Linked DNA regions of Coturnix japonica. The protein of the gene in region 1 purifies or fractionates together with the protein of each later gene. This does not show direct contact. Links are inferred from orthologs where the notes say so. Each region holds a gene or a part of one and is shown in the gene's direction. Other genes may lie near its edges. The genes, in order: DHX15, PRPF8, SF3A3, DDX5, SNRPA1, SF3A1 and SF3B1.

The links.
Region 2: the proteins of DHX15 (region 1) and PRPF8 fractionate together in Homo sapiens (co-fractionation; 3 studies listed by BioGRID, with this or other methods). This does not show direct contact. The link is inferred for Coturnix japonica from reciprocal best matches to the Homo sapiens genes DHX15 and PRPF8.
Region 3: the proteins of DHX15 (region 1) and SF3A3 fractionate together in Homo sapiens (co-fractionation; 3 studies listed by BioGRID and IntAct, with this or other methods). This does not show direct contact. The link is inferred for Coturnix japonica from reciprocal best matches to the Homo sapiens genes DHX15 and SF3A3.
Region 4: the proteins of DHX15 (region 1) and DDX5 fractionate together in Homo sapiens (co-fractionation; 3 studies listed by BioGRID). This does not show direct contact. The link is inferred for Coturnix japonica from reciprocal best matches to the Homo sapiens genes DHX15 and DDX5.
Region 5: the proteins of DHX15 (region 1) and SNRPA1 fractionate together in Homo sapiens (co-fractionation; 3 studies listed by BioGRID and IntAct, with this or other methods). This does not show direct contact. The link is inferred for Coturnix japonica from reciprocal best matches to the Homo sapiens genes DHX15 and SNRPA1.
Region 6: the proteins of DHX15 (region 1) and SF3A1 purify together in Homo sapiens (co-immunoprecipitation; 5 studies listed by BioGRID and IntAct, with this or other methods). This does not show direct contact. The link is inferred for Coturnix japonica from reciprocal best matches to the Homo sapiens genes DHX15 and SF3A1.
Region 7: the proteins of DHX15 (region 1) and SF3B1 purify together in Homo sapiens (co-immunoprecipitation; 6 studies listed by BioGRID and IntAct, with this or other methods). This does not show direct contact. The link is inferred for Coturnix japonica from reciprocal best matches to the Homo sapiens genes DHX15 and SF3B1.

The regions. Positions count from the first base shown.
Region 1 is NC_029519.1:66,707,829-66,712,738, forward strand, and holds the start of DHX15 (pre-mRNA-splicing factor ATP-dependent RNA helicase DHX15), read left to right. Parts: upstream 1-2,015; 5' UTR 2,016-2,139; coding exon 2,140-2,204; intron 2,205-4,910.
Region 2 is NC_029534.1:4,145,723-4,149,850, reverse strand, and holds part of PRPF8 (pre-mRNA-processing-splicing factor 8), read left to right. Parts: coding exon 1-74; intron 75-160; coding exon 161-408; intron 409-596; coding exon 597-776; intron 777-990; coding exon 991-1,126; intron 1,127-1,357; coding exon 1,358-1,527; intron 1,528-1,826; coding exon 1,827-1,956; intron 1,957-2,121; coding exon 2,122-2,268; intron 2,269-2,511; coding exon 2,512-2,672; intron 2,673-2,961; coding exon 2,962-3,153; intron 3,154-3,639; coding exon 3,640-3,877; intron 3,878-4,128. UniProt on the Homo sapiens protein: Plays a role in pre-mRNA splicing as core component of precatalytic, catalytic and postcatalytic spliceosomal complexes, both of the predominant U2-type spliceosome and the minor U12-type spliceosome.
Region 3 is NC_029538.1:3,123,840-3,128,425, forward strand, and holds the start of SF3A3 (splicing factor 3A subunit 3), read left to right. Parts: upstream 1-1,406; 5' UTR 1,407-1,453; coding exon 1,454-1,549; intron 1,550-1,671; coding exon 1,672-1,719; intron 1,720-1,845; coding exon 1,846-1,898; intron 1,899-2,728; coding exon 2,729-2,834; intron 2,835-3,212; coding exon 3,213-3,285; intron 3,286-3,668; coding exon 3,669-3,760; intron 3,761-4,034; coding exon 4,035-4,117; intron 4,118-4,429; coding exon 4,430-4,568; intron 4,569-4,586. UniProt on the Homo sapiens protein: Component of the 17S U2 SnRNP complex of the spliceosome, a large ribonucleoprotein complex that removes introns from transcribed pre-mRNAs.
Region 4 is NC_029533.1:7,256,558-7,259,699, forward strand, and holds the end of DDX5 (probable ATP-dependent RNA helicase DDX5), read left to right. Parts: intron 1-99; coding exon 100-324; intron 325-921; coding exon 922-1,304; 3' UTR 1,305-2,132; downstream 2,133-3,142. UniProt on the Homo sapiens protein: Involved in the alternative regulation of pre-mRNA splicing; its RNA helicase activity is necessary for increasing tau exon 10 inclusion and occurs in a RBM4-dependent manner. Binds to the tau pre-mRNA in the stem-loop region downstream of exon 10.
Region 5 is NC_029525.1:15,973,281-15,977,997, reverse strand, and holds the start of SNRPA1 (U2 small nuclear ribonucleoprotein A'), read left to right. Parts: upstream 1-1,487; 5' UTR 1,488-1,586; coding exon 1,587-1,668; intron 1,669-1,891; coding exon 1,892-2,039; intron 2,040-2,758; coding exon 2,759-2,837; intron 2,838-2,984; coding exon 2,985-3,031; intron 3,032-3,129; coding exon 3,130-3,232; intron 3,233-3,740; coding exon 3,741-3,820; intron 3,821-4,717. UniProt on the Homo sapiens protein: Involved in pre-mRNA splicing as component of the spliceosome. Associated with sn-RNP U2, where it contributes to the binding of stem loop IV of U2 snRNA.
Region 6 is NC_029530.1:9,660,151-9,664,278, forward strand, and holds part of SF3A1 (splicing factor 3A subunit 1), read left to right. Parts: intron 1-703; coding exon 704-908; intron 909-1,742; coding exon 1,743-2,000; intron 2,001-2,424; coding exon 2,425-2,499; intron 2,500-2,883; coding exon 2,884-3,034; intron 3,035-3,483; coding exon 3,484-3,677; intron 3,678-4,128. UniProt on the Homo sapiens protein: Component of the 17S U2 SnRNP complex of the spliceosome, a large ribonucleoprotein complex that removes introns from transcribed pre-mRNAs.
Region 7 is NC_029522.1:30,870-34,997, forward strand, and holds part of SF3B1 (splicing factor 3B subunit 1), read left to right. Parts: intron 1-537; coding exon 538-704; intron 705-1,934; coding exon 1,935-2,036; intron 2,037-2,644; coding exon 2,645-2,759; intron 2,760-2,968; exon of another isoform or gene 2,969-4,128. UniProt on the Homo sapiens protein: Component of the 17S U2 SnRNP complex of the spliceosome, a large ribonucleoprotein complex that removes introns from transcribed pre-mRNAs.

The DNA.
Region 1 (4,910 bases):
CTGATGCATGTAATGCTTTTACATTCTTCTATTTTTCCCACTTTCCAGGGAGATCCAGCCCCCTTATTGTTTTATTTTTTGTCTCCCTTCTCTAATCAGCTCAACGTCTCCCCTATTTCCAGTATTCTTAAGCTTTTGCTTAATACAGTTGTCATTTAAAGAGCTTTGTGTAGCTACCCTCTGGGAATGTAGTGCTTTGTACGCTGCCTTGGAGAAAATAAGCTTGATATTTGGCATGTAGAGAGAAACCCGTAACATTTAACCCCTGGCAAACTGTGACACAGATTTTTCCAGAGTTTTTTTGTAATATAACTTGGAAAATTACTTCCAGTTTTGCATGAAAAGCTCAAAGTCCAGAATTTCTGGAATGTTTATTTCAGTTATCACTTCAAGCAGAAAAAAATGGTATTCTTTATTGTAGTAGTGCCTAGAACTTGAGCTGAGGGTGTCGTTTTGTTGTATCGTTTAAAATAAAAAATGCTCTTCTACTAAATATACACTGATGGTTTGTCTTTGTGGAATGTTATAGCAGTTACACTGATGTAACTCTGGAAGAACATGAGGGTGTGGGTAAACACCTACTTCCTGAGCTGGCTGTGCCCGTGGAACAGGTCACTTGCTGCTAAGTGATTTTTTCTGACCATTTTCAGATTTGCTAGCTGAGCCAGTTGTGAGAATACTCTCTTGCCCTCAGAGTTACACAAGTTAACAACAAATTCTTATTCAAAACATCTGATCTAACCTAATTCCTTTGACCAAAGTGCTGGGGAGTGACCACTCCTCCAAGTAGCTAGGTGAAGGTTTTGGTAATCTCTGGCAGAAAGGCAGTGAGAACAGGCAGGGAGGATGACTTGGAAAACAATGTATTTTTTGTCAGGTGCACCTAGATGAAGAGATAGGAATGAAATGTACTGCCATAATATTAACCTGTCTTATCTGAGACATTAATTTAAACCACTACTGCAGCACTGAGAGAACATGAAATATACTGGGAAAGCAGGGAGGAACAGAGAAGAGAATGTCCAACAGTAGATAAGTATCAAGAAACATCCTTCTTGCCTTTCGAGAAGCTCTCAGAGATTGACTTTTATGAGCTATGCTGTATTATCAAGTGACTGTTTTGGAAAGCAAGGCAGCTGCTAAGACTTAATGATGGATGAGAGGAGAAACAGCTGAAGGATCTAGTTGTGAGAGCACGGGGGTCTGCCTAGAAATAATAGTGCTCATATCAGTGGTGAAATGATTAACATTACAAACGATTCACTTAGGACATCTCATTTAGGGACATCTTAATTGCCTGATTTTGTCTTCTCCTGCTCAGCCTCATCTCTGCTTACAGTCAGGGAACAAACACAGCTTGCATGGATGGTTAACCCAGTTCCTAGAAGGCGCTGGGGGAGGATGGAGATGAGGAACACAGTTCAGGACACAGAGACAACCCAAAAGGCAGGTTTGCTGGATCCAGTTTGAGCCATAGATTGCTGCTGGTACTGGCTGGAAATGTGAAATGCATCAGTACACAAGAAAGACCTGATAACTGTATTGAGAAAATGGCATTTTTAGCTCATGTGTCTCATTGCACTTCAGCAGTTGTTATGAAATACTAGTTTGTGTTCAAATCTAACGAACTTTGATGTAATAGTGGCAGCCGTGCCTGCTGGCGTTAGGAACACGGGCTTCCCTTGCACTAGCAATCCCAAATACATGAGTGTCATGTATTTGAATGAACGTCACCGATTTTCTCACTTCTGCTTCAGATGACTTGTGAAAGGTCGCGTTTTTCTACACACATGGGCGTCAGCAACGGCCCACAAAAACGACGTGCCAACATCATTCTGCTTTTAACTTCCACCGTGGAAATACTCCTGTGCTGGGGAGCAGAACGGACTGTGGAAAGCACCTTTGCCATCCGCTCCCGCCCGCCCCCACAGCGCTGTGGGCCGCAGCCGTTGTGAGGCGCGGGGCGGGGCGGCGCTCACTCCCATGCGCGGCAGCGGCTCGCTCAGCCCCGTCGCTTCCTTCCGGCCGCCATTTTAGTGGCTGCTCCTGGCCTCGCGGCGCCGCTGCCGTCGCTGCTGCTCTTGAAGCGCAAAGCGCGTTCCCTTGAACCCGGCCCCGCTGCACCCAGCGGCCCCCGCCATGTCCAAGCGCCACCGCTTAGATCTGGGCGACGATTACAGCTCCAGCAAGAAGCGCTCTGACGGGTACGAGGCAGCGCGGCCCGCGGCGGGCGGGAGGATGGGGGGGATCAGCGCCGCTCCCGTGATCGGCTGCTCGTTCTGGGCCCAGGCCGCTCCCCGCGGGATGGAGCCTCCGCCGTGCGGGGCGGCACGAAGGGATGGATGGATGGATGGGAGCGGCGAGGCCCGGGCGCGCTGCAGCGTGGGACTGGGCCCAGCTCGGCCTGGAGAGTGGGGGAGGCGGATGGCGGCGGGGAGGAGAAGGAGGGGCCGGGTTGTGCTGGGGGCGGTGGGGCGGCGCGGCTTTGTGTGCGGCCTGCCCGTACCTTCAACTCCGCATCTCCTTTTTGATGCGCTTGTGTCGTTTTCGTTTAGTGGCAAACGTGATCCAGGGGGTCAGCGTGAGGTACTGCGTCCTTAAGCGGGTGGGAGCGTTATTCCTTTGTTAGCTGCCTGCGCTGGGTACCCGGCTGGGGTTGTGCCTCATGTGAGGAGGCAGCGCCAGGTGGGGTTGGGGTGGGATGTCACGGTGGGAGTAGGTTTCTTTGTTTTGCGTTAGTTACTTTTAGGGCTCGATGCACCAGCTTTAGCAGCCTTCCATCAAGGTTAGTGGCGTGGGGGGTACACAAACAATGTGCCGTTGTTGTTTTAGTGCGGTCTCTTCATATTTTGTGTTCCCTGACGTTGGTTTGGGAGCAAAGGGCCTCAGAAGGCTCAGGAAGGCAGGGCTGTGTTTATCTGGCCTGCCCTTCTTGGGAAGCACAGAACCCATCCTGAATCCCATCCTGAATCAGCTCCTCCCTGAAGCCCAGCAGTGCTGTTTAGGTAAAAGTGTTGATCTGAGAAGAATCAGCACAGAATATTGCACCTCAAACCTCCATAGGTGCCGGGTTTGTGTCCCTTTGTCCTTCCCTCATCTGCCATTAAAACTTTACCAAGTCTGCCGTTAAAAGCTTTAAGTGGCACAGGACTAAGAGTCACTGTGGACTTGTTGAGTTTATTTCTTTGTCATAGTCCTTGAGATCTTAGTTCATCCAGCACAAGGCACACACTATTCATCCTAAGTTGTCCTGGCTTATGTAAGGGTCGGTAGGTTTTCCAGCCTACAGAAGGCTGCGATGCACAAGTTGTTACCAACATGTATATTCTTGTCCTATTCTGCACACTGTGGCTTTCTGCAGTGTAGTTGGTTTTGGAACTGGATTAAACTATATTAGCTCCTTGAATAGATACCACATCATGTATAGAATAGCATTGTACCTTGCCTTCAACGTGGGTCACCTGTCTACAATGTAAAATTATGTTGAGTTGTTGCTATGTTCTTTCTGAGGCCTGTATCAGTGTGTGTAACCCCACATGGCAGTCATGCTGTTGGTTTGCAGCTGTTCTTGCAGCCTTAGTGGCTTGACACCACTCGTTATCTTCCTGTCTTGAAGAATCCTCTGTGAAGACAAAACCTTTTGGGGAAGGTGTGGTTTAGAAGTTTTCTGTTACAGTGCTACTGTGCAAGTTGTATGTGTGCAATTTAAAACCCGATGGTTTTTTTTTCTAAGCACGCTTATCTTTGTTTGGTGTTGTGTAACATCACAGTTGCTGTGTTTGTGTGATGCATCGTTTTCACTGATTTTCTTAGGTAAAGAGCAGAAATGCCAATCTAACTGCTGCTGCTGCATCGACTGCCAACAACTATTGTTGCGTCTGCTTAGTAGTGGCAAAAATGCATGTATCAGTGATGTTAGTTTTGCTTAGACTTCTGTTGTGATGAATGGAACTGGAACAGGCTGCCCAGGGGGGTCGTGGAGTCTCCTTCTCTGCAGATATTCAAGTCCCACTTGGACGCCCACTTGTATGACCTGGTGTAGGGGAACCTGCTTTGGTGGGGGGTTGGACTCGATCTCTAGAGATCCTTCCAACCCCTACAATTCTGTGATTCTGTGAATGTTGGTTTAACCTTATTTCTTTTCCATTTGCAGTTTTCTGTGCTTTTATGTCCTCTAAGTCAGTGATTTATTTTTTTCACCTTTTTTTTTTTTTTTCCATCTATTTGTATGGGTGGGCATAAGGAGTTCAGGTAGCAAACCAGGCAACCTCACATGAGAACAGAAATCCAACTAATAAATATAAATGCCCAACAAAACCCACCGTTGCCACCAACCTCTTCCCATTTATGAAGATTGTTGTGGACTTTATGCACGAGACAAATGTTATTAAGTTTTGATTCTTTTTGTTGTTTGTTTTAGGGTTTATGGTCAGGCTGTTAAGTGCAGAGATGAGGAGCGACTTAAATGTGACATTCCATTAATGAAGAACTGCCAAGTTGTGTTTCCAGAGATTTTAGTGTTATCATTTGGCAGTGTAACCATCACTCTACCTGTCCCTTGTTTTGATGCAAGGTACCTGGTGTGCCTCATAGATTTCAGTGGTAGTGGAAGGCTGACAGACATGTTCTTAGGAAAGTAATGCTGTTGTAGAAAGATTAATATTGATGATTAGATTTAAGGTCTGTTTTTTCTGTGCTGACGTCTGATTCCCCTCTTTTATACTGTTCTTAACCATTTTTGGAACTGAAAATCAACTCTCTTGGTTGACCTTTAAGTCAGCTTTTTGACTTCTGAAATGTAGGTAGAACTTGATCGGTTCCTTTTCTGTTATGACTGAAGAGTTAATGAGATAACAGTCACTGGGGAGTAACAGTTCCAGTTTGGTTCCCACTTGCTGTCCATTTAATTT
Region 2 (4,128 bases), on another chromosome or scaffold:
ATGAGTCTATGCAGAGATTCCATAACAGAGTGAGGCAGATCCTCATGGCGTCTGGCTCGACAACCTTCACTAAGGTAAGGCAGAAGTGAGCTGTGTGACAGAGCTTCCTGCAGATGCTTGAAGAACGAGCTGAGAACTGATCCCGTGCCTTCCTTTTTAGATTGTCAATAAATGGAATACAGCTCTGATTGGCCTGATGACATATTTCCGGGAAGCTGTTGTAAATACTCAGGAGCTGCTTGACTTGTTGGTGAAATGTGAGAATAAAATCCAGACTCGAATCAAAATTGGTCTGAATTCCAAAATGCCCAGTCGTTTCCCACCCGTGGTATTCTACACCCCTAAAGAGCTGGGAGGTCTGGGTATGCTCTCTATGGGACATGTTCTCATCCCACAGTCTGACCTGAGGTGAGTAATATTGCCTGATCTGAACTGCCCACATGATTTAGGGGCTCTGTTAGATATTCTTTCCCATTGAAGTATTTAGGAATGCTAAACCACAACTTGCTTACAGAGATAGGTTGTCTTTACGTCACGTCAATGTGACTGGTGATGTCCCGTTGCTCCTACCTCACTCTTCTGCCTCTCTGCTCCAGGTGGTCCAAGCAGACCGATGTTGGCATTACTCATTTCCGCTCAGGGATGAGTCATGAAGAGGACCAGCTCATCCCAAATTTGTATCGTTACATCCAGCCATGGGAGAGTGAATTCATTGATTCTCAAAGAGTGTGGGCAGAATATGCTCTCAAACGACAAGAGGCTATAGCCCAGAACAGGTATATTTCCATGTTAAATTAGATCTCTGTGTGTCTGTAGCCTGTCTATAGTGATAGCTGTGGATGCTTTTCTGAGCTTCTGAGTGTCATTTTAGAACCTCTCCTGCTACAGCCTTGAAATCTGTATCCTTTCTGTGATCTCATCGCCTGAAATATTAATGCACTGCCATAAAATTGAGAGGTAACAGAGTGTGGGGATGTTTCTTTTCTTCAGGCGTCTGACACTGGAAGATCTGGAGGACTCATGGGACAGAGGAATTCCTCGTATTAACACCCTTTTCCAGAAGGACAGGCATACCCTGGCTTATGACAAAGGATGGAGAGTCAGGACTGACTTCAAGCAGTATCAGGTATTGACATGGGATTTCTCAGTGTGAATTTCAGGCATCATCTTAGATACTGCCCAGTCTGAATTACCTACTAGGTACTGTCTGAACTTGTAGATGAGCCATACCTTCCAGAATGGGTGTATGAGGTTTTTTACTTGTTAGCTGACATCATCTTGGTTCCTGAAATTAGTGCAGCATGGTTAAATGATGTGAATGCAGAGCTGCTCACTGGTAGGTTGTTGTTGTTTGCAGGTCCTGAAACAGAACCCATTCTGGTGGACACATCAGCGCCACGATGGGAAGCTGTGGAACCTGAACAACTACCGCACTGATATGATCCAAGCTCTGGGTGGAGTGGAGGGGATCCTGGAGCACACTCTCTTCAAGGGCACTTACTTCCCTACATGGGAGGGTCTCTTCTGGTAAGAGAAACCTTGATCTGGCCTTGAGCAAATTGGAGCTTTGTGATACACCAGGAGTTCTTGGCTTGAGCTGCACTTACTCTGCTGAGCTGTTCTGTTTTCCAGGAGCACACCATATAGTTCAGTTTGAGGGTACCTGGCATTGCAGTATAACTAGATTTATGCATGTGATTGCATGAAAGTTCTTTACATGAAGCAGTTCTTGCTCCTTCTGTTCTGGTGCCTTGCTTCTATTCTATGTGGTCCATGAAGATCAGCTGTGATTAGGAGCATCTAACACAGTTGATCGTCATTTCTAGGGAGAAGGCCAGTGGCTTTGAGGAGTCCATGAAGTGGAAGAAGCTGACAAATGCCCAGAGATCGGGTTTGAATCAGATTCCAAACAGAAGATTTACTCTGTGGTGGTCTCCTACCATTAACAGAGCCAATGTAAGTATCTGGAATTAGCTTTCAGGATCTTGTGCTGAGTTGAGAGCAGTTATCTGGTTCTTCAGCTGAACTGTAGATCTGAGCCTTCTGAACAGCAGCAGTTCTGTTCTCTAAGCTTCACCAGTTTTGCTGTTACATGTTCTCATGTCTGTTTTTCGTTTGCAGGTATATGTTGGCTTCCAGGTGCAGCTGGATTTGACTGGTATATTTATGCATGGCAAGATCCCCACACTGAAGATTTCTCTCATTCAGATTTTCCGAGCTCACTTGTGGCAAAAGATCCACGAGAGCATTGTAATGGATTTGTGTCAGGTAAGCAGTGTGTTAACAAGGTTTGTTCAGTGCACACTTGCTCCTTGTATACTAACAGCCTCCTGCTCTTGACAGTAGCAAAGCAGCTCCTCTAGTAATTCGACAGACAAGGGGAGGAAACTGGATTTTCCTGGGTACCTGCTTGTGTGTGTTGTGGATAGACTCTGTTAGAGTCTTCTACTGATACTGTAGAGTATACTATAGATACTATAGATACTTCACCTTCTACTGCCTTTTCCCCAGGTGTTTGATCAGGAGCTGGATGCTCTAGAGATTGAGACAGTGCAGAAGGAGACAATCCATCCCAGGAAATCATACAAGATGAATTCCTCATGTGCAGATATCCTTCTCTTTGCTTCCTACAAGTGGAATGTGTCACGTCCATCATTGCTTGCTGATTCCAAGTGAGTGTTTCCCTACAGAGACAAGCTGCTGAGCTTGTCCCTGAGCAAAAAGCCTTATATCTTGGGAGCCCATGGCTGACATACTTCTCTGGGTATCCAGGAGGACATAATCATGCCTGGAAAGTGCAGGGCTAGTATGGGTAGATGTTTTCTTTTCAGTAGGGTATGCATATAGTACCTGGCTTCAGGGATCAGGCTTGGTAGCACTTACTCTCTGCCAAAGAGATGTACAGCAACTGCAGGAGAGTTCTATGCAAGATTTAATTACTCTGGGCTGCTTTCTTCTTAGAGATGTGATGGACAGCACCACCACTCAGAAGTACTGGATAGATATCCAGCTGCGCTGGGGCGATTATGATTCCCATGATATTGAGCGCTATGCAAGAGCCAAGTTCCTGGACTACACTACAGACAACATGAGTATCTATCCATCTCCCACTGGTGTGCTCATTGCCATTGATTTGGCCTATAATTTACACAGGTAAGAACTGCATCGTCTGTATTTTAGCTGTAATTCATAGTTGATGGATGTGTCTTAGTGCATCTTCAAACTGGGCTGTGTTCCAGGCTGGAGTTGCTGTAATAGTGGTTCAGCTCACTGATTGTTTTCTTAAGAGATCTCTGCCAGATGGAGTTCAGGGGCAGGCCTTGTTTAAAGGCCATCTGTAAGAGGGAACAACTGCTCTTCATGAAAGAGCAAGGCAGAGGTGTCCCATCAAGCAGACCTCTCTAGTACGACAGTTGCAAACCATGCAGTTCTTGTGGGACTGTGCTGCACGTGTGTGCTGTGGCTTCCCACTGAGGGGAAGAGAAGGGAAAAGCAGCCGCTGAACAGCTCCAAGAGAAATCATTCACTGGTAGACAGCAGGCAGAAAGGTGCCTGTCTGCTGCACGTGAAGACTTGTTCTGTTGTCCCTTCATCTTAGACCTGATGGTAACAGCTGTTTCTTTCTCTTTTCCTCTTCAGTGCATATGGGAACTGGTTCCCTGGTAGCAAACCTCTGATCCAGCAGGCTATGGCCAAAATTATGAAAGCAAACCCTGCGTTGTATGTGCTGAGAGAACGAATCCGCAAGGGCTTGCAGCTGTACTCATCTGAGCCCACAGAACCCTACCTTTCCTCTCAGAACTATGGAGAGCTGTTCTCCAACCAGATCATCTGGTTTGTGGATGACACCAATGTGTACAGAGTGACCATTCACAAGGTAAGGCCAGAGCTGCATCTTAAGGGGGAAGGATGGGGGCTGTTAATGTTCTTTGCTCAGGATGATTGAGGAGAATGTGCCTGAGGGTAAGCTGGACACTAACATGCACCCAAACCTTTAGCAGTGTGTACAGAGCAGCCCTTGCATTTCCAGCATAGTTCCTTTTCAGAGCATTTAACAAGCCAGCTGTTGTGTAAATGGTTGGATAGGCTGCTTTCATCTCACTGTACTTTCTACTTCTTATTTCCTCA
Region 3 (4,586 bases), on another chromosome or scaffold:
CTGAAGCAGGCACGGAAATACTCCTCAGCACGCAGCCAGGCGAGCAGAGCCTTCACTGTGAGCCCAGCATTAACCACACACTGAGCTTGAAAAGCCACCCTACAGAGGGACACGGTGGCTCCTGCCACATGCTTTTGGGGCTCACTGTGGGCATCCCTCGCTGCCCTGTGGTTGAGGGCTCTCTCTTTCCAAACATTCTTTTCAGCTCCCTGCTGGAGGTCACCCATTTCCCAGCTGCAGGCATCTACATGCAGCGTCAGGTCATGGCTCCAGCACAGCCTCTTCTGAGCTCTTAAACCCAACATAAACCTGCCCCAGCAGCTCCTGCAGCCCTGCAGGGATGGGTCTGGAGACCAGGTGCAGCTGAAGGCTTGGACTTGGACCTGTGTGTGCTAACAAGCCCGGGTCCACTACTGTCCATACTGCCTGGGGTAGTGGGGAACCAGAGCTGAAGGTGAACTTTCTCCTTTGCCTCTGTTACGTGAGGTTAGGGATGTGGCTGAGCCCTTCAGGCATCCTGAATGCTCCTCCTGCTGTTATCCCTTCTTCCAGACCCTCAGCTAAGGTCCAAAAAGGTGGGGAGGCCGCAGAACTCACAGAGACAGCTTTATTCCTCAATATACTCAAGGATCATGTAGTTCCAACCCCCCTGCCTAGCAGGGCCACCAAACATACACATTTACTAGTTCAGGTTGCCCAGGAGACCCCATAGATCCCCATAGAGACCATAGAGACCCCATAGATCCCCATAGAGACCCCATAGATCCCCATAGAGACCCCATAGACCCCATAGATCCCCATAGAGACCCCATAGAGACCCCATAGATCAGGTTGCCCATGGCCCCGTCCAACCTGGCCTTGAACACCTCCAAGGACGGGGCATCCACAACCTCCCTGGGCAGCCTGTTCCAGGACCTAACCACTTTCCTAGTGAAGAACTTCCCCCTAACATCCAACCTAAATCTTCCCTCTTTTAACTTAAAACCATTTCCCCTAAGTCCTGACATCCTTCAGCCGTGATGTCCAAAGCCCATTAAGCACAACGTCTGTTCATCCCAGGAGCAACATCTGTAACCCCAAGGCAGGCAGGAAGGAGGCAGCACCGGACTGGACATGTTTTATTCTGCTTGGGCTGTGATTCATGGCTGTATAACGCTGCCCACAGCCACATTGAAGCTGGAGGCTTTCACCCCAGCCTGGGGGCACCTGCAGTGCTCTCAATCCTTACGACTTTATGGGTTTGAAGCGAGAGGTGTCAGAAAAGTTCCCACTTTTCTGGGATAACTGGGATAACTGGCTTGTGGCGGCCAGTGGATCTCACTGCTCTACACCTTCACATGGGCTAAAATCAACGCGGAACCACATTCAATCCGGATCAAGCGGCTCAGGGAAGGGGCCGGACCCTTCCGGTGTTACACAGCGAGCTTCTGGTTCCGGGCTGGAAGGGGAGAAGATGGAGACGATCCTTGAGCAGCAGCGGCGCTACCATGAGGAACGAGAGCGGCTGATGGACGTCATGGTGAAGGAGATGCTCACTAAGAAATCCACGGTGAGCCCGGGGATGGGAGTGGGGGGACACAGGGGGTGTGTGCCCGGGGAGAGGGGGGGGGGGTGTGGGGGGGGTAGGCCGGGCTCAGGCCTTCATTATTAACGCCGTTTATTTCTATGCAGCTCCGCGATCAGATCAACTCCGACCACAGGACTCGGGCTATGCAGGATGTGAGTGGGGTCGGGGTGTGAGTGGGGCTGGGGGTGGTTCGGGTAGCTGTGGAGGTGCAGGGCCCAGATTGGCCCCGGTTTGGTTGAGGTTCTTTGTGTCAACGTGAGGTTTGTGTTGTGTTTTAGAGGTACATGGAAGTGAGCAGCAACCTGAGGGACCTGTATGACGATAAGGATGGGTGAGTGTATAGCGGGCTGGAATGGACATGGGGCTGCCTTGGATCTGCTTTATACACCACAGACATGATGCTACAATGCAAAGCTGGGGGTCTGCCCTAAAGAGGAGGACCCAGATTTCACATGAAACATGCAACACAAACACTTCTCAAGCAGAAAGCACAGAGCAGTACTACAGCCCTGTCCCCCTTCCTATCCCCATATGGGGGTGGAGCTGATCCCCCACCACACTCCTACCTCCTCTCACCCAACCCCACCAGCTGTACCAGACCCTCTGGTATTGAATCATTGAGGGAGACGGTCTCTAACTGAGACTGCAGCGTTTGCAATAGAGATGTGACCCTGATCCTCAAAGCACAATCCTGGCTGCATGTGGAACATCAGTGGGTGTATGGGAGATTGGTAATCACAGCCTGAACCTCTGATTAATCAGCTGAGCCAAGTGTTGGGTCAGCTGTGGGAGCACAGGTGAGAGTAATTTAGCTGTTCCCCATAAAGGGGTGGAGCTTGACTTCACCTCCTCTAGACCTCATTGAAGGGCTGACCACCACTAATGCAGCATCTCTTGGTGATTGCTGCTTGGTAGTGATCACTTCAGTGGTTCCCAGCAGATCTAAGGCTTCCATATGGGTGAGCTTAACTTGTAAATAACCTTTTGGTTATTTACTACCATCTTTTCATTATTGTCCCCATATGGTGGGGCTGTGATTTCAGTCTCACTGGTGTTTTGTGGGAGCAGAATGCAGTGTTAGACTTCCAAACATTATACCAATATAAACCAACATAAACGTGTTTTCTATATGCAACCTGTCTTCTTTTTATGAACCTGTAGCTTACGGAAGGAGGAGCTCAGTGCCATTTCAGGGCCAAATGAATTTGCTGAATTCTATAACAGACTGAAACAAATAAAAGAGTTCCACCGCAAGCATCCCAATGAGGTAAGCAGCAGCTCCATAAGGATAACTGGTTTGTGGTGTGTTGGGCTTCATCTCTGCTGTATTAAAATGTCATTCAGGAAAACAAAGTGTCTAGAAATAGGTGATGCTTTGAGACTTTATATGAGCCTCTGTCTGAGTAGGAGAAAATGCAGGATGCTCACCATGTCCTCCACACTCTCTATTAGTTTAAGAGCATTCTGCTTCTGAGCTAGCATTCATTCTTGCCTGCCTAATGCTGTCTTTAGTGCAAATATAATCATGAAGAAGTGCTTGAAACACCTCTTCAGTTACTTGTTTTACTGTTTGCAGTCTGTATTAATTACTCCTGGGCATTAGCTGAACTAATCCCTTTTTCTATAACTTCTTCTGTTCCTGAAGATTTGTGTTCCAATGTCAGTGGAGTTTGAGGAACTGTTGAAGGCCAGAGACAACCCAAGTGAAGAAGCTCAAAGTAAGTCTTCAGGGTTTTGTTTGTTTCTTGTTTGAGGTTTGTTTAGTTGAGAACACATTGCTTGCCGTGATTTAGTGACCTGTCTGTTCTGCTTTGATTTCCACCTCCCTTTCCCTACATTAACCATAACAACTGTTTTAATTTCATTTAAATTCTTCTGGGCTGCAGCCACCCTGAAATATTCCACTGTTGAGATGGTTCTTTTGGGGGATGGTCTGATATAACACTAGGAAGCTGGTGGCCATCTAGTCGATGAGTATCCATTTGCATTATAAACATGCTTAAGAAAGATAAACTAGTCTGCAGTTCAGCTTCTAAAGCATGCATATAACAAGCAGAGGATGTTGAGTTTGTAACAAAGCCCTGCGTGCTCTTTCCTGCAGACCTGGTGGAGTTCACAGATGAAGAAGGGTATGGAAGATACTTAGATCTGCATGATTGCTATCTCAAATACATTAATCTGAAATCATCAGAGGTAAGTGGTTGCAGTAGTGTGGGCACTCTGTTGTATTGCACTTCAGTGCTGAGGGCTCAGTGGTCTGTTTTAAATGTCATTTATTTCCAAATAGCTGTTTTATGGTGCTTGTTTTGCATTGTGTTAGAAAGCACACTGTAAACCCCAGCCCTGTGCAGACCATGCAGAATAAAGGCATGAGCTTTGTGCTTTTCTTCTAGTCTGGTGACTGGAAATTGGTTGCTGATATGCTGTGTGTATCTAAAGTCTGAATCAAACTTCCTTTCATTCTTAGAAACTGGATTACATCACTTATCTGTCTACATTTGACCAACTCTTTGACATCCCCAAAGAGAGAAAAAACGCTGAATATAAGAGGTGAGTCTTTTTCCTGCCTGCTTCATTCATGAAAGTAGTTGATGAGAAGGAATTTGCTTCTCAAGTGTCCAGGAGCAGAGTTAGTAATCAAGCAGAGGTGACAGAGATTGGGTCACTGAGCTGTATTAACTCGGTCATAAATCCCTTGAGCCCTGAGAGGACGTGAAGCACAACAAAACGTGGGAAGCCGTTGGGCTTCTAATTTTGAGGCAGTACTTTAGTTTGCTGTATTGAAATCTGTTCTAATCTCGGTAACTTTGTTATATCAGTACTTTGATATGGAATTGTCTGTGCTGATAATTACTTTGCCAGGTATCTTGAAATGCTTCTGGAGTACCTACAGGAGTACACAGATCGTGTGAAACCATTACTGGACCAGAATGAGCTCTTTGGGAAAATTCAGACCGAGTTTGAGAAGAAGTGGGAAAATGGGACATTCCCTGGCTGGCCGGTGAGCAGCTGTGAATTC
Region 4 (3,142 bases), on another chromosome or scaffold:
TCATTGAAAGTACTATTGTCTAACGTTTATCTTCGATTTGGCTGTTGTGGTGTGCAAAACTTTGTACCTCGCTTTTTGCCACACTGCAACACTTTACAGATGTGGAAGATGTGAAATTTGTCATCAATTATGACTACCCTAACTCCTCTGAGGACTATATCCACCGAATTGGACGAACTGCCCGCAGTACCAAAACAGGCACAGCATATACATTCTTTACTCCTAACAATATTAAGCAAGTAAATGACCTCATCTCTGTGCTTCGGGAGGCTAATCAAGCCATCAACCCTAAGTTGCTTCAGTTGATTGAAGACAGAGGTTCAGGTGAGTGCTATTGTTAACGATGCACAGCTTTTCTCTCAGAACAAACTGGCAATCTTTAGCCTCTCAAAAATGGATTCATATCCAGCTTACTTGCCAGTTATGGTGACCTCCAAAGGTGTTAAAACGCTTGTGAGCAAAACCTGCCCTCACAATGCTGTGCTGTAGAGCATCTTGTGAGCTGTGGCTGCTGATGTCAAAGATGGGCTTCAGGCTCATGTGTTCTGCATTAAAACATCTTGCAGGGAGGCTCAGCTGTTTGGCTTCCTCTTACAGTTAGGAGATAACTGCATGTAACTCCTATTGGTGAGACCAAAGCAGCTTTCCTTCATGCCACTGCTCATATTACAGGGGAGAGTGTATGACCCTGCCTTCATTAGGGAAAGGGCTCTAGCTTCATGTAAATGTAAATCTTCATGTAATTCTGTGCCCAATGAGTCCAGTTAAAAACTGGAAAGCCTTTTCAGTAGACTTGACTTGCTGACAAAGGAAAAGAATGTTCATGAGTTGAACTCACCAGATGCTAATTAAATGCAGCCTTGATTGCTCTTGTCTATCTGATATCTATCAGATATCTTACTTGTCTTGTCTCTTTACTAGGTCGTTCCCGAGGTGACCGACGTGACAGATACTCTGCGGGCAAAAGGGGTGGATTTAGTAGCTTTAGAGAGAGGGAGAACTTTGAGAGAACTTATGGTGCACTAGGAAAGAGAGACTTTGGAGCCAAAGCTCAGAATGGGGCCTACAGCGCCCAGAGTTTCAGTAATGGAACTCCTTTTGGAAATGGCTTTGCAGCTGCAGGCATGCAGGCTGGCTTCAGGGCCGGTAACCCTGCAGGAGCTTACCAGAATGGCTATGATCAGCAGTACGGGAGTAACATTGCAAATATGCACAATGGCATGAACCAGCAGCAGTATGCGTATCCTGCCACTGGTGCTGCTCCTATGATAGGTTACCCAATGCCAGCGAGTTATTCTCAATAACTTAGTGTATTTAAATGTCTCAGTTTTTCATAATTGCTCTTTATATTGTGTGTTATCTCAGAACAGGATAGTTATTTAAGAAATGGGAAGCGCAGAAATGACTGCAGTGCAGCAGTAATTATGGTGCACTTTTTCGCTATTTAAGTTGAATATTTCTCTACATTCCTGAAACAATTTTTAGTTTTTTGTACTAGAAAATGCAGACAGTGTTTTCAAAGTAAATGTACAGTGATTTGAAATACAGTACCAGAAGGCAGTGCATGGCCTTCCAATAAAGATATTTGAAGACCGAATTTTCTTTCAGATGGCAATTTTCTCAACATGTGCACAACTTTACACTAATGGAATGTCAAATGTTTTTATATTCTAGAGAGGTTTCTCAACTGTGTCTGATTAAACATTTAAGCTTATATTAAAAACAAACCAGCCTTGCCTTGATTGGGCTCTAGATCGCTTAGCATGGCAGGCTCTGTTTGGTGGGGAAGAAAAGCAAAGCTGGCTACTGAATAGCAGTTGGAAATGGTCTTCTTCCTTGTCTGATTAGCATAGGGCCAGTTTGTTTTCTTTATTTTGGAGAAGATTCCTTGGAGTGATGGTGTAGCTGGGCATCTCGCTAACCAAAGCTCTGCTCAAGTGGTGTTGCTAACGAGCTTCTGCCACCAGTGTAGGAAGCTTTTTTGCAGCACCGTAACTGTTGCATATGTGCAGACTAGGCTTGAGTGTAATGTGTCTGCAGCTGTCAGGCCTTGTGAGTTAGCATGCAGGCTTACTATGAGCTTCAGAGAAATGGGAAGATCTTTAGTATTAAAACTTCAAATTATACTTAAACTGGTATTGAGCGGTGATTTCTTTGCGGCAGCGGGAGGAGGGAAGCGGGCTGTTGAGTGAATGGGGGGGTTCTTTGTTCCTGACATTTGTACAATCCCTGTGTGCAGCTGAAGCCTCACTGCTCAGCACAGGAGGGTTCTGAGGCATTTCCTTGCTGGGGTCAAGCAGAAACACTCAATTCTGGGCTTGTTACTGAATGCTTTCAACAACAGTATCTTAAAATTCAACTGAATGTTAACCTTCAGTTCCCACTTTTAACAATAATCATTTTTTAATGGTAAAAATGCTTAACCACTCTTTGCTAATGTAAGAATTGGGCAAGATTCTGTCCACGTTATTCTGAATCTCAGTCTGTGATTTCAAGCCTCTTGAACCTCACTTGCCTTTTCCCCATCTTACTGTGCTATCTTCCCCCCAAGTCAACTTGTGCTACTATTAATTACACTGTAATCCATTATTTTCTTAACATTTATACTTCTGTAAGCTCCTGTCACTGTAGCACTCTGAGCTGTGAAGAACAAGCAGGTTTTCTGACAGGGAATAGCACCAACCCCTGGTTGAGCTGCACGCAGCTGAGAGGTGCTGTGTGACAGCCCTGAGCTGAATAACACACAGTGCAGGGTTTGAAGGTCTGAGATTCCTGGTTCACATCTGTGTTTAATGATGGCAGTGAAATAATGCAGCGCCCTGCTTCTATTTTGCTTCTATGTGTGGGTTACAAGGCCTGTGTGCTTCAGGGGGTTTATTTTCCCCATTAAAGTCACACTGTTCCCCATGCCCTCAACGTTTGCACTTAAATCTTCCGTAGTTCTCAGTGCAACGGAACCGGTTCCGGATCAGACCGGCATGTTCTAAGCGGTGTTTTTCTCTGCCCCACTGCCCTACTAACGCTGTGCGCTCAGCCCCGTGGGCCTGTGCTTAAGGGCACCGCGACCGGCTGAGCCGTAACAGCCCTGAGCCCATCGCTGCCGCCTTCCTACAGCCGGATTTGCTTCAGCTCCGCCCGCTGG
Region 5 (4,717 bases), on another chromosome or scaffold:
CCCGTGAGGGGCTTATAGAACACCCCGAGTTGGAAGGGATCCACAATGATCACAGAGTCTGAAAGAGGATGTTTCCTCAGAGCTGTGCTGCTGTGGGCTCGTGCATCTCACAGCTTTTCACAAGTATCAGAGGATCAGTGGGACTGAGCCAGATGATTTATCACACACTGATTCCTTCTGCTGCTCTGGGATCCCCCTGTTGTTCTCGGGCCAAACCAGAGGTCAGAAATGGGGCGAAATGCTTCTGGCTTCTGCCACTTTGCTCATCAAATAACAAACTTCCATTGCTGTTGTCATGTCCCAGTCCCAGCCGGGAGCACCGTGTCAGCTCTGGCACTCAGCTCTGCCGTGGTATATTTAGATGCACTGAAATGCTGAATTTACCCTTATCCTTGGCACAAACTATGAAAGCACAGCCTGGCTGAGGTAGTGCAATTGAAGATGACCAATCCCCAGCAGTCTGTGCTTTCTGCTGCCTTCCAGCCCACAGGGAAAGAGAAACAAATCCTCCGTGTCGAGTTCATACAACGACATCAGCTCCCAGTGTTTCCCAGGGCTCCGACTCCCTCAGAAATCATTCCTGGAAAGCAATAACATTCAGATTATTTATCTAAGCTATTGCTTGGAGCTATTAAAGCCTCTCAGCCGCTGGTATGCACAGAGGATCAAAGTGTGCCTCTACCAGATAAACGAATACAATTTATTAAAGCACATTTCTTCATTGTCTCTTGGCACCAACAACTCAACTCTAACAGCTGGATCTTAGTGCAGCCTGAAGCCCCGCTCGCAGTTTGGCTGTGAGGCTGCATCCACAGCAATCTTAAAAACCACCACTTGGACTTTCCAGTACAAAGGAGCTTTCCAGAGCTCGTGTACAGCATCTGAAACCAAGAACTGCTCTGTTACAACCCCATTACAACCCCTAGAGCTGAGCAATACAGTGTGTTGTGCTATAGGAGGAAGGTCCGCATTCAGGTGGCTCTGAGACGCCTCCAGCTGTGTTGGGCTGTGCACAGGGAAGCAGTTCCCTCTGCTGACCGAAGTGCTGCAGCGCTTCAACTGCGACCACACCAGAATTGGGCACAAGGACAACTTTTATTTATTTATTTTTTATTTATTTAAATTGGCTCTTATTTACAATGATGCACTGGCACGGGTTGCCAAGACAAGCGATGGATGCTCCCCTCTACAACACCCAGCGCTGTCCCTTCTAACCCAACCACGCTGTGATTCCATGATTCTGATTTCTATGCGCTTTCCTTCCAGCTCGACAGCTCAGAAAAGCCACCTCTATACAGCCCCTCCCGGCCGCCATTTTGTGGAGGAGGGGCTGCAAGAGGACGGCCCTCTTCCTCTCGGCTATGCTCGGCTGTGTTCGGCTGTGTTCGGCTGTGCTCGGCTGTGTTCGGCTGTGTTCGGCTGTGTTCGGCTATGTTCGGCTGTGTTCGGTTGTACTCGGCTGTATTCGGCTGTGTTCGGCTGTTCTCGGCTGTACTCGGCTGTTCTCGGCTGTACTCGGCTGTGTTCGGCCTCGCTCGGCCGTGCGGCGCGTTGTGGGCTCGGTGCGGCCTGTGTGTCCGGGCGGGATGGTGAAGCTGACGGCGGAGCTGATCGAGCAGGCGGCTCAATACACCAACGCCGTGCGAGACCGAGAGCTCGACCTGCGGGGTGAGATGGATCTGCCGGGAGGGAGCCGGGCCTGGCTTTGTGGGGGGGGATCGGGAGCGGGCCTGTGTGGGGCCTGCGCTGAGGGGAGGCGTGGGGCCTGCACTGGGAACGGGCCGTGCAATGGGGGGGGTCGTTCTGTGTGTTAAATGCCTCTTTCATGTGTCCCCAGAGCTCCATCCCATCCTGCTTTATTCCCTTCTCACGTTTCTTTTCCCCCCCACAGGGTATAAAATCCCCGTCATTGAGAATTTAGGGGCTACGTTGGATCAGTTCGATGCGATTGATTTCTCGGATAATGAGATTCGGAAATTGGATGGGTTCCCTCTGTTGAGAAGGTTGAAAACTCTTCTGATGAATAACAACAGGATTTGGTACGTGGTTGTGTTGTGATCAGTGTTGTGATCAGACGGGACCTGGGGCAGAGCAGAGTGAAGAAGGGAAAAGAAGCGTGCCCGTGTCTTTTAATACCTGATAGGTGTAAAAATATCTGCTTTATGGGGAAGAAATAGCGCTTGGTATTTGCTTCAGCCTTCAATTAGCCGGCTTTGTTCATTGCAAAGTTCTGCCCCAGCTCTGTGTTCCATTTTCATACAGGACAATGAGATGCAGGGCCTGGAGTTTGTGTTGGGTCCTTGGGGGTTGTTCACTACCCCCATAGTGATGCACAGACAGGGGTGCCTGCAGCTGAGTGAACAGAGCTACCTTGCTGCACCTGGTGCCCTTACAGTGGCAGCTGCTGTTTTATGTTGGCTTTGTTACAAAGCTGATGCTCACCCAAACTTCTGCTGCTGTCATACTTGGCTGTGTTTAAGTGAGGTGCTCTATGTTGGCATGGCTGCCCAGGGAGGTGGTTGGAGTTGCTGTCTCTGTAGGTGTTCCAGAGCCATGGAGAGGGGACAGAGGTGGCCCAAAATGCTTTCAGCTGTGTTGGCCACAGACAGGTTTATTGGGCATGGTGGGGATGGGCTGAATGATCTCTGAGATCTCTCCAGCCTTAATGATTCCGTGATTTTTAATATATCTGTGTCTGTGTCCACCATTGTTAATTTCCAGCCAAAGGTAAAATCTTTGTGTTTTTATTCTTCTGTAGTCGGATTGGGGAAGGACTTGAACAAGCTCTGCCCAGTCTCACAGAGCTGGTTCTTACCAACAACAACATTTCTGAACTGGTAAGTTAGTGATGCAGAATAAATCTTGACAGCTCTAATGTTTTTGTCCTCTTTCTAATTAGTCGTCTTCTTCAGGAGCTTCATTCTGAAATATTTGATTGTCGTGAAATGGATTTAAGATTCTTACTCTGTTCTTCCATTATATAGGGTGAACTGGATCCATTATCAAGTATTAAAACATTGACTTACCTGAGGTGGGTAATCTTGAAAAGAAAAGCAGCGGCTTGTTGTGATATATTTCAATATATTCAATACATGAAGTAACTCTTTGTGACCTTTATTTGCCTCGTAGCATTTTAAGGAACCCAGTAACAAATAAGAAGCATTACAGATTATATGTTATCTACAAAGTTCCCCAAGTCAGAGTGCTGGATTTTCAGAAAGTGAAACTCAAAGTAAGTCTGTTACCTTCGGATTGAACACCAGATGGAGACCTTTTCTCCTATTAACTCATAGAACTGTAGTGAAATCAGTAAAGCTTTTTGCCCCAGCTGTAAATGGCAGTGGAACAGTTTGTCCTATGAGGCTTTAAAGCTGGTGCTTCTCTTTGATGGTTTCACGCCGTTAAGGATGTAATCTGCTTTATTGTTTTTAATTGATGTTTCACTGCTGTTGTTTGTTTAGTCTGATTCTTTTCTGGCTGGCCGGTGTTGGTGGTGATAAGGGGAACGTAGAGAAAGGAATGAGGGATCAGAGCAGAGCCCTCTGCTTGGGGCTGTTGCTTCTAAGAGCACTGAAGTGCTACACCTCGAGTTGGAGTGTTTGTGCAATGTGTTTGTGCTTGTCCTGGGCTCCTCATGCTGATGTTCACTGAAGATGAGCCAAAGCATCTTTCTTTGCAAAGAGCAGCTCTGCGAAATGCTACATCCTTCCATTAACTTTGTATGTGTGGTATCGCTGTAGGAGCGACAGGAGGCAGAGAAAATGTTCAAGGGCAAACGGGGTGCACAGCTTGCAAAGGATATTGCCAGGAGATCAAAAACGTAAGATAAAACAAACGCTTGCACTGGCGTTCTCCTTCAGAAACACCACGTTGTGTGCGGCACCGAACTGAGACGGCCCTGGTTGTTTGGATGGTGGTGAACACATCTGAGATCTTTATGGTAGACCCGTTTGGTCAGGGTGGATCGGGATATAGCAGTAAACAGGGAACTCTGTGTTATTTTACTGCAGAGAGGGGGCTGTGGTTTGCTTGGTTTTGCTCTCTATAGTGACTGGGAACTGAAAAATCTATTGATCACATTGAGGGTGCTCAGTGAGTGCTTAGAACTGTTATCAAATGTGCTCTCGCTGTGGTTAATGAGTGGAAATGGCCCATGTCTGTGATGGCTTTTGAACAAGTGAATCAATGAATCAAACACCCAGTTCACATCCCAAATACACGCAGGACAGGGCGCAGGTCTGTGAAGCTGGGTCACATTTAGGCAGCTCTTTCAAGCTGTGACTTCCATTTCCATAGACAACAAACGTCTGCTGTCCTTTAAGCAGCAGCAGGTAACTCACAAGGAACTTCCACCATTCATTTTACATAGGCTGTCCCAGTATCCTGTGAGATACTGAAATCCAATTCCATTCACTCTGCTTTGTGTGATGGTTCAACAACATCCAAATCCAACAGCTTTCATCAGCCGCTTAATTCTAAGGTGCCAGTCTGCCTCATTATGAGCAGATGAAAAGATCTGGGGGGGGGGAAGGGGATGGGACAGTGAGGACAAATCCAAGCGGTTGGTGTTTCTGAAGGAGGCCATTCATCACTGTATCAGTTTGTTAACAAAGAGAAGATACTACACTTGATTGATTGAAACGCTTCCAAACCTGCTTTGGAAGTGAGAGAAGCACACGTTGCTCCCAGATATTAACGATCCCTCTTTGCTTTTATC
Region 6 (4,128 bases), on another chromosome or scaffold:
TATCCTAGTTTAGTGCAGCAGGTTGATTATCACAAGTATAGATGTCACAGTTAGGGGAGAAGCCTGGAAGTTTAATACATCTTTATTCATTTGGGCTTTTTCCTCCTGTTACCAACATGAAAACATAAACTGCTGGTGTTAGCCAGGCCATCTTAAAATGCTGAAGTATTTCTGTCTGTCTTAATGCTATGTGGGGTATCTAGGGACTGGATCTTGGTCTTCCTGGCAGAATACAAATAGCACAGGAGGTAAATACCTCAGCTAGCTATGTGAATTCTGCAGGGCATCCAGACAGGAATACCTACCTTTTCCTTAGGTGAACTTTCTTGAAATGAAACTAGTCTTAAAAACTTGGTGGTCTATTAAGAAACTCATAAATATCTTCTATTAAATCATGTAATCCATACACTGATGCTCGATTTGAATATAGCCAAGTGGAATGGGAAGTTTTTAACTGTCCTGAGAAATATTTGCTGTGAAATGCTAAAGGCTAAATTAGGATATGTACACATAACTGCTGTGTGTGTGACTGACTGCTATGTTGGGTGTGAGTTACATGGAGGCAGGGAGAGGTAAACTTCTTCCACACAGGACAGGAACTTATCCTGAGGGGTGAATGCATGGACACAGCTTGCTGTGAAAGAAACGGATGTTTATGCTTAAGTTGATACCCATTATCTAAACTTATTTTTCCACCCTGCAGAAATGGTCCAGAATTTGAAGCTCGAATTCGTCAGAATGAAATAAATAATCCTAAATTCAATTTCTTGAACCCCAATGATCCCTACCATGCATACTACCGACACAAAGTCAGTGAGTTCAAGGAGGGCAAAGCACAGGAGCCCTCAGCTGCTATTCCCAAGGTCATGCAACAGCAGCAAACTGCTCAGCAGCAGCTTCCACAGAAGGTAAGTGTTCCTTTGCACTTTGATTGCTTCTCACTCATTGTTTCTCACATTGTGATGCTAGGCAGAATGATGAAAGCAGAAAGACAGTGTGAGGGAAGGAGTTAATTGATAAATAGTTGCAATAGAGGACAACTCACAGGCATGAAATTTAGCATCTGGGACTTTCTTCTGATACAGGTGTGCATCCCCTGGTTGCTGGTAACTAAAACATTGTGTAGAAGATCAATAAATTGTATTATTTGGTGCATTTTAATTATACTTAGTTATTCATTGACTTGTTTGGTACTTAAGGCTTAGTGTTCATGTGGAGTGTATGAATTTAGGACTGCCATACACAATCCTTAAATATCCTTTGGGGTTCAGTTTGGGCACGTTGCATGCACTGTCTTAGAGATACACTTCTGTTTTGTTTTCTTCTTTTTTCCTGCCAGAAGGATCATCTCCTTGTGAAAATATGTACAAAATATTGCTTATCTTGCTTAGTTTTCTTCATAGATACTAAGTGGAAAAAGGGTACTGTCTGAGTCTTCTACATGCTTTGCTTGACCTTATGCTGTGTGATATTGACTGAAGGACTGATAATCACTGGAGGATTGTAGTGAAGTCCTGATAGCTTGCAGTGTCATTAGCTCTGGGAACAGTGTTTGTTTTAAAGTAGGCCCAACTACAGGGCTAAACTCAGCATTACTGCTTTTCTTCCAATCCTTACAATTGTCAGAGTATCTATACTAACGTTGTTTTCCTTCCACAGTTGAAGGGAAGATGAGCTCTCTTGACTATTCAGTACCAATTTCTTGCTTGCATTCACTGAGCAGTCTCTGTTCTGCTCTGTAGGTTCAGGCCCAGGTGATCCAGGAGACGGTTGTTCCAAAAGAGCCGCCTCCAGAGTTTGAGTTCATCGCAGATCCTCCCTCAATTTCTGCCTTTGATTTGGATGTGGTGAAGCTGACAGCGCAGTTCGTGGCTCGGAATGGGAGGCAGTTCCTGACTCAGCTGATGCAGAAGGAACAGAGGAACTACCAGTTTGACTTCCTTCGCCCGCAGCACAGTCTCTTTAACTACTTCACAAAGCTGGTTGAACAGTACACAAAGGTACTTGTGGCGTTGCAACTGTCAAGTTGATTTCCTCAGCAGCACTCTTGATGCCCTAAAAAACAGCTGGGCTAGAAATACATGCAGGCCTAGGAGTCCATCCTTAAGGGTGCCCTTTAAAAAGGGTGGGTCTCTTGCAACTTGCTGGCAATATGCAGCACTGAATGCTCTGTTACTTCAGAATATCAAACACTAAAGCAATATAAATACATTTTAAAAGTGGCATCTTTTTAAAGTACTGATTGTAGATAGAAAGGACAGGAGTGAGTAGTTTAACTGCAAGCGCAATGAGTGGCAAGACAGGAGAAATGGAATACAGCCCCAGGGGTCTTTACTATTGTTATCAGTGTGGAAAGAGAATAATTGCAGTTAAGGAGATTTTGGCAACAAGTAGTCACCAGCTGTCCTTTAAAATGTGTTTCAGATCTTGATCCCACCGAAAGGCTTACTCATCAAGCTCAAGAAGGAGGCTGAAAATCCCAAAGAAGTCTTAGATCAGGTATTTATATGAATAACTCAAAATTGCTGAAGCATTTCAGTTATGTGTTGAATTCTGTCTCTGCATACATCTAATTTGTTGTCTATGAATTCCTTGCTGTGAACCTTCAGCAGGGCCTAATGTGTCATATCTGGCTTGGTCTTGACTCGAGCTCCGCAGTTCCAGCTTCAGAAAGCCAATTTATGAGGCTGGCACAGTACCCTTTCAATGGGCAAACCTATGGCTTCTGTGTTATAGTATCTGTTTGCCCTACCCTGGCCTCCAAAGCGGTGCTTGTATGAATACCTTGAAGGGGTTTTTAGGATAAATTTTAGACACCGTAGAGCTTATTATTGTGTATTTTTGGTGTGACGTTTGGTGCTAGCTCTGAATCTGCTTGTACAGGTGTATTACAGAGTGGAGTGGGCAAAGTTCCAGGAGCGAGAGAGAAAGAAGGAAGAGGAAGAGAAGGAGAAGGAGCGTGTTGCTTATGCTCAGATTGATTGGCATGATTTTGTGGTTGTGGAAACAGTGGACTTTCAGCCCAACGAGCAAGGTACTGAAGACAGGCATTGTAACCTCTTGGAACTGTACTTCCTCTGAGCAGAGCATTGGTTTTAGGAAGACATGGGATTTTACAGCTGTGTAGCCTTCAAAATGGAAAGGATAGCTTCCTAATGATGGGATAGGGCTGAGTTTCTTCTGGAATCAAGTAGTATTCTGTGGCAGTGTCTGCTTTTCCATCTTGAAGCGGGACAGCAAAACTTGTCCCATATTCTGGTGGTGCTTTCACCTATAAATGTCTTCATCTCCAGCTGTTGTTATAGTGTTAGTCTGGACAGAGTTTAAAACAGAGTGACTATATGCCTCTAAAATGGCTAAAAAAAAAAAAAACCAACAACAAAACGAAACCAAAAACTGTTTCTCAAGAAATTGGTGCTTCTGTCTTCCCATTATGCAATCAAATGGGACCAAGAAACAAAAGCTGTGTTTTTTGCACTGTAGGGAATTTCCCACCTCCCACCACTCCAGAAGAGCTGGGAGCTCGAATCCTCATCCAGGAGCGCTATGAGAAGTTTGGGGAAAGTGAAGAGGTAGAGATGGAGGTGGAGTCAGATGAAGAAGATGAAAAACAAGAGAAAACAGATGAGCCTCCAACCCAGCTGGATCAAGACACGCAAGTGCAGGATATGGATGAGGTAGGTAGCCAACAGAATTGGCATTATTCTTGCCCTGTGAGATTTGTGTGGGGTTTATTACGTCTTCATTATAATACGTTGCTCAGTATATTGAGGGAATTGAGATTTCCTTCCGATTGAGTTTAAAAATGACCTGTTTCTGCTGAAATACTGGAATATGGTGTATTTAATATTCTCTGTGGCAATACAATTTACAAGAGAAATCTGGGAATTCAGTCACCCGGTGAATTGATGTGAGGTTATTTCTGTCATCCAGTCTTCTAAATTTTCTTACACACTAGGGTCTGGAATGTTGAAAAGATGTCTCATTTCAGACTCTTCCTTTTAACCACTGCATATAATCAGTTTTTCTGTTAGCAAGAAACAAGATCATTGAGACTAACTGTAAGCCCTGGCTTGCCATGCTGTGGTAATGTGGAAGCTGAGGCTTACTTACTTCCTTTTTTGGGTC
Region 7 (4,128 bases), on another chromosome or scaffold:
CTGTTTTGTTGGTTCAAACGTAATATAGTGTTGCAGCATAGTGGATATTTTATTCTTGAATAAGGTGTTCTTCTGTTGCACGTTCCCATGTGTCTACTCACACGCTTCCTCCTTTAAACAGGTTTCTTTTAATAAACTGATTGTGCTGATTTATCGATGGTAACATCTCAGTAGCTGCTTTTAATGAAAAGATTACATTAATTGACAAAGCCCTGTACCATCTAGTGTTGAAAAATACTGTTGTGCTGTAATTACCTTCCCCACCATCGCTTTGGAAGATCGGATGGGTTAATGGTAATAGTTTTGAATGGTTTGCTTCAGACCACAATACAGCTGCATTAGTCTGTCCTGGATAATATTACAGCATAAAGAAAAGCTGCTTCGTATACATCGTGGTTTTATAGTTTAATGTGATAATTATATTCAGTTAATTAGAGATGGACTTAGAAACTGGGTGGTTTGCTGAATGTGATGATAGAAGTGTTGCATTTTCTGTATGTTGACAAAGACCTGAGTTTTTGGCTGTTTTTACCCTAGATATCGAAGCGCAGATCCGAGAAATTCAAGGCAAAAAGCCTGCCCTCGATGAAGCACAAGGAGTGGGCCTCGACTCCACCGGATATTATGACCAAGAAATCTATGGTGGCAGTGACAGCAGGTTTGCTGGATACGTAACTTCCATCGCAGCAACTGAATTGGAAGACGTAAGTGATTTCATTTCTTTAAGGAGTGTCTAAGCATTGTGGTGTTTTGTTTGAAGCGATTTATAGTTGCAGTTAACTGAACAAACATGCCTCACTCTGGGCATTCATCAGGTCTGTGTCTGCTTGGACTTGATGACGTGTGCTCTGAGAGGCACAGAGCTCCAGGAGGACACTGAGATCGGGGCGGCTGGTGCTCCGTTAGCTTTAGAGCGTCTGAATTGGTTTTGTTGCTGCTGCCAAGGTGAAAAATGAGATGGAAAAAACTAATAAAACACAGGCCTGACATTTTAAGTGGCTATTTTAATATTTTCATTTCTACTTCATTTGAACTTTCGGTGCTATTTCTGTGGATTGACTTTTGCACTGTCTCATATATAAGGGTGGTTAAGGTTATGTTGATAAGTTCTGTTACATTCTAATGTTAAACACATTTTTGGTTTCAAAAGCAATCAGAAAGCAGTTCTGATCATAAACACACAATGAGTAACTGTGTATTAAAGTGAGCAGAGAATATTTTTAAGGAGAAGCAAGAATGTTATGTGTGGTTCAGTATTAGTTGGTATCTTTTTGTAGTGGTGCAGTATTTGAAGACTTCAGGAATGCATTAATTAAAAACTTCCCTTACAGCGTTTCCCTGAACTCAGTTAATAATTTTACGAGCAATTTTCCTTCCGTGTTGCTGTAAACTGGTGCACGGAGTCTCATTGATAACTGCACAGAATACACAGAGTATCTCACACATTCTGAAGACTTGCTTTTGGTGCTGTGGTTGAGAAGGTACAACCAAATTAACAGAGCTCTAATTGATTTCTCAGTCTTTTGTTATTGCAGAAGTGTTTTTCAGGGTTACTTACTGACATTTTCTTTGTATTTGTCTGGATTTTAAGAAAAAAAGAGCAGTGTGCACAGCTTTTTCAATAACAATTAGCTCATTGCATTGGTAGCACTAATATGAAATACTAGTTATTGAAGATGGCATCTTGGAGTAAATGCAGTACATTCACCGAGTCTGTTAAGGAATAAGGTATCAATGTAGCTGTTTGTTGAGCTGTATCTGGTTCAGCAGTTGATTGCTGGGAGTAATACAACAATAGATGTGAAATCAGTTGCTGAAAATGGAGTTGAATATTCCCGTCCCTTTTCATCTTACCTATGACTGCAGTGTGTTGATGTGACATTGTTACCTAAAGCCAGTATTGGTGTGACTTTGCCACGTCTTTCTTCTGGCAGGATGATGATGATTACCCATCTACAAGTTTGCTTGGCCAGAAGAAGCCGGGGTACCATGCTCCAGTGGCACTGCTTAATGACATTCCGCAGTCAACTGAACAGGTATGTCTGAACTCAAGGCACAACAAAAGGCTATTTGGGTCTTAGGAGAAGTATTAGTATTTCAAGACCACATCTTCATTTCTGAAAGCACAGCATGTCCGTAAGGCATTACAGTATTTGAAGCACCGAGCTTGTCTGTGCTTTATGTTACAATTCCAGCACGTGGTAGAAATTGGCACTTGTGCATGTAGAGGCAACATGTGCATATATGCTGGACTACTTAAAAACATCAATTGTATACTTAAAAAAATACAAATATCTGGAGCAGCTGAATGTCTCTTAAGCTTTTTGTAACAACAATGTAATTGTGAATGTTTTATTCTCCTAAAATGGTTTTCTTTGAAGCTTAAAGGTGTATGAGGTTGTAATAAGTCTTCCTGAAAGAAGTTTTATTCTTCCAAAGAAGAAAGACTGCTGGGATGAAATGCCTTAGAAGCAAATGAAAAAGCTTCTTAGAACAGTAACAGGAAGTTATTTGATCAAAAAATTCTGCGTTTCAATAACCATTCTAGTTTCAGAAGTAAGATTTATATTTAGGTAGTGTAACGGTCAGCAGCGTTTTTCATGTTGTTCCTATGTGATAACCAGCTTTTTTTTTCTGTTTTTAGTATGATCCTTTTGCAGAACACCGTCCTCAAAAGATTGCAGATCGGGAAGATGAGTACAAAAAGCACAGGCGGATGATGATAATTTCCCCTGAGCGTCTCGATCCTTTTGCAGATGGTAATTTATTTTTGACTTTTTTTATACCCTTTTTGAGATCTGTTGTCTTAAACTGTCTTTAGCCCTTTGATTTCTGTTGGCATGCTTATAAACTTAGTTTTGTTTTAAACATCCCCTTTTTGTAGAGGTTGGGTTGAAAACCTAGATGCCATATTCTTCATCTTTATAATACAAGTTTTCTTTCCAGGTAGAAGGACAAGAAAATAATGAGCCATTGCCATAGAAACACAAAGGGTTAAAGGTTTCTCTTTTCTTTTTGTTTTGGGTTGTGCATTATACTTGAACAACTTGTGTATTGAGTGCTCAGTCTTTCAATACCTTGAAAGCTTTCGTTCCAAGTCATAGTTTTACAGGGCTATTGCTTTTGAAATGCTAGTTCTCAAAATAGAGCACCTAATTCTTACCATCTTATGTAAACTTAGGTGGTATAGCTAAAAGGAACAAAAGCGAATGTAAGACTTTGATACTATTAATAGTTCAAGTCTGTTCAGATAATTTTAGAATGCAAGTCAGGAAAAGGGGTGTAGTGGGTCTGATGGAAGATTTCTTGAGGCGAGTGAGTTTCACTTGTGGCAGTGAGGTGCCTGTTGGCTTGAAATCAGCAGCTGTTTTGCAGGTTTTACAAATTAGAATTGCAGCCTGCATGAATTATTAGGGATATTACTTATTTTACTTGCTTAATTGTAATTGATATAAACATGTATTGTCAGAATTCACAGGCCCATACTAACTGTCCTTAATTTCTTTCCTACAGCAGTACTGCTATATGCCAGTCCTGTCTGCATTCTTAAGGGTGCAGTTCAACACATCCTGTGTAGATTATGGTGAAAAAGTATTCCAAAGGAAAGTCCTATCAAAGCTAGTGTCAGAGTGACACAGCCAATTGGGCAATGATCTTCAGCATAGAAATGTTTAAGAGTTTTATTTTCTTCCTAAACTATATTGCTATACCACTCGTATAGCAATCTGCACATTCCTTTTAATTAATAGTGTTTTTCTTGACAAGTCTTAATTTATATAAAGTCGGGCTTCTTGTAAAGTACGTAAAAGTTAAACTTTAACTCAAGATACAGAGCATAAAACAACAAATGGTACACAAACCCCATTCCGTGTGAGTATTGTTGTGGTGGTAAATGTATTACGTTCAGATCCCAGTCGCAGTTGTTCTTTGAAAGGAGGGGGAAGGTGCTATCAGTTTTCTGGGATTTCTTGCTTTTTTAAATGAAGCCCTTTTACAATGTGACACTGGAAGATCTGGGAGGTGTGTCCAGATTTGTCAAACTTATAAATGGGTCCTTACGATAAAGCATTTTAAACATTACTTAGGTATGCAGTAGTTGTTTATAGTCAGATAACTACTAGGATGTAG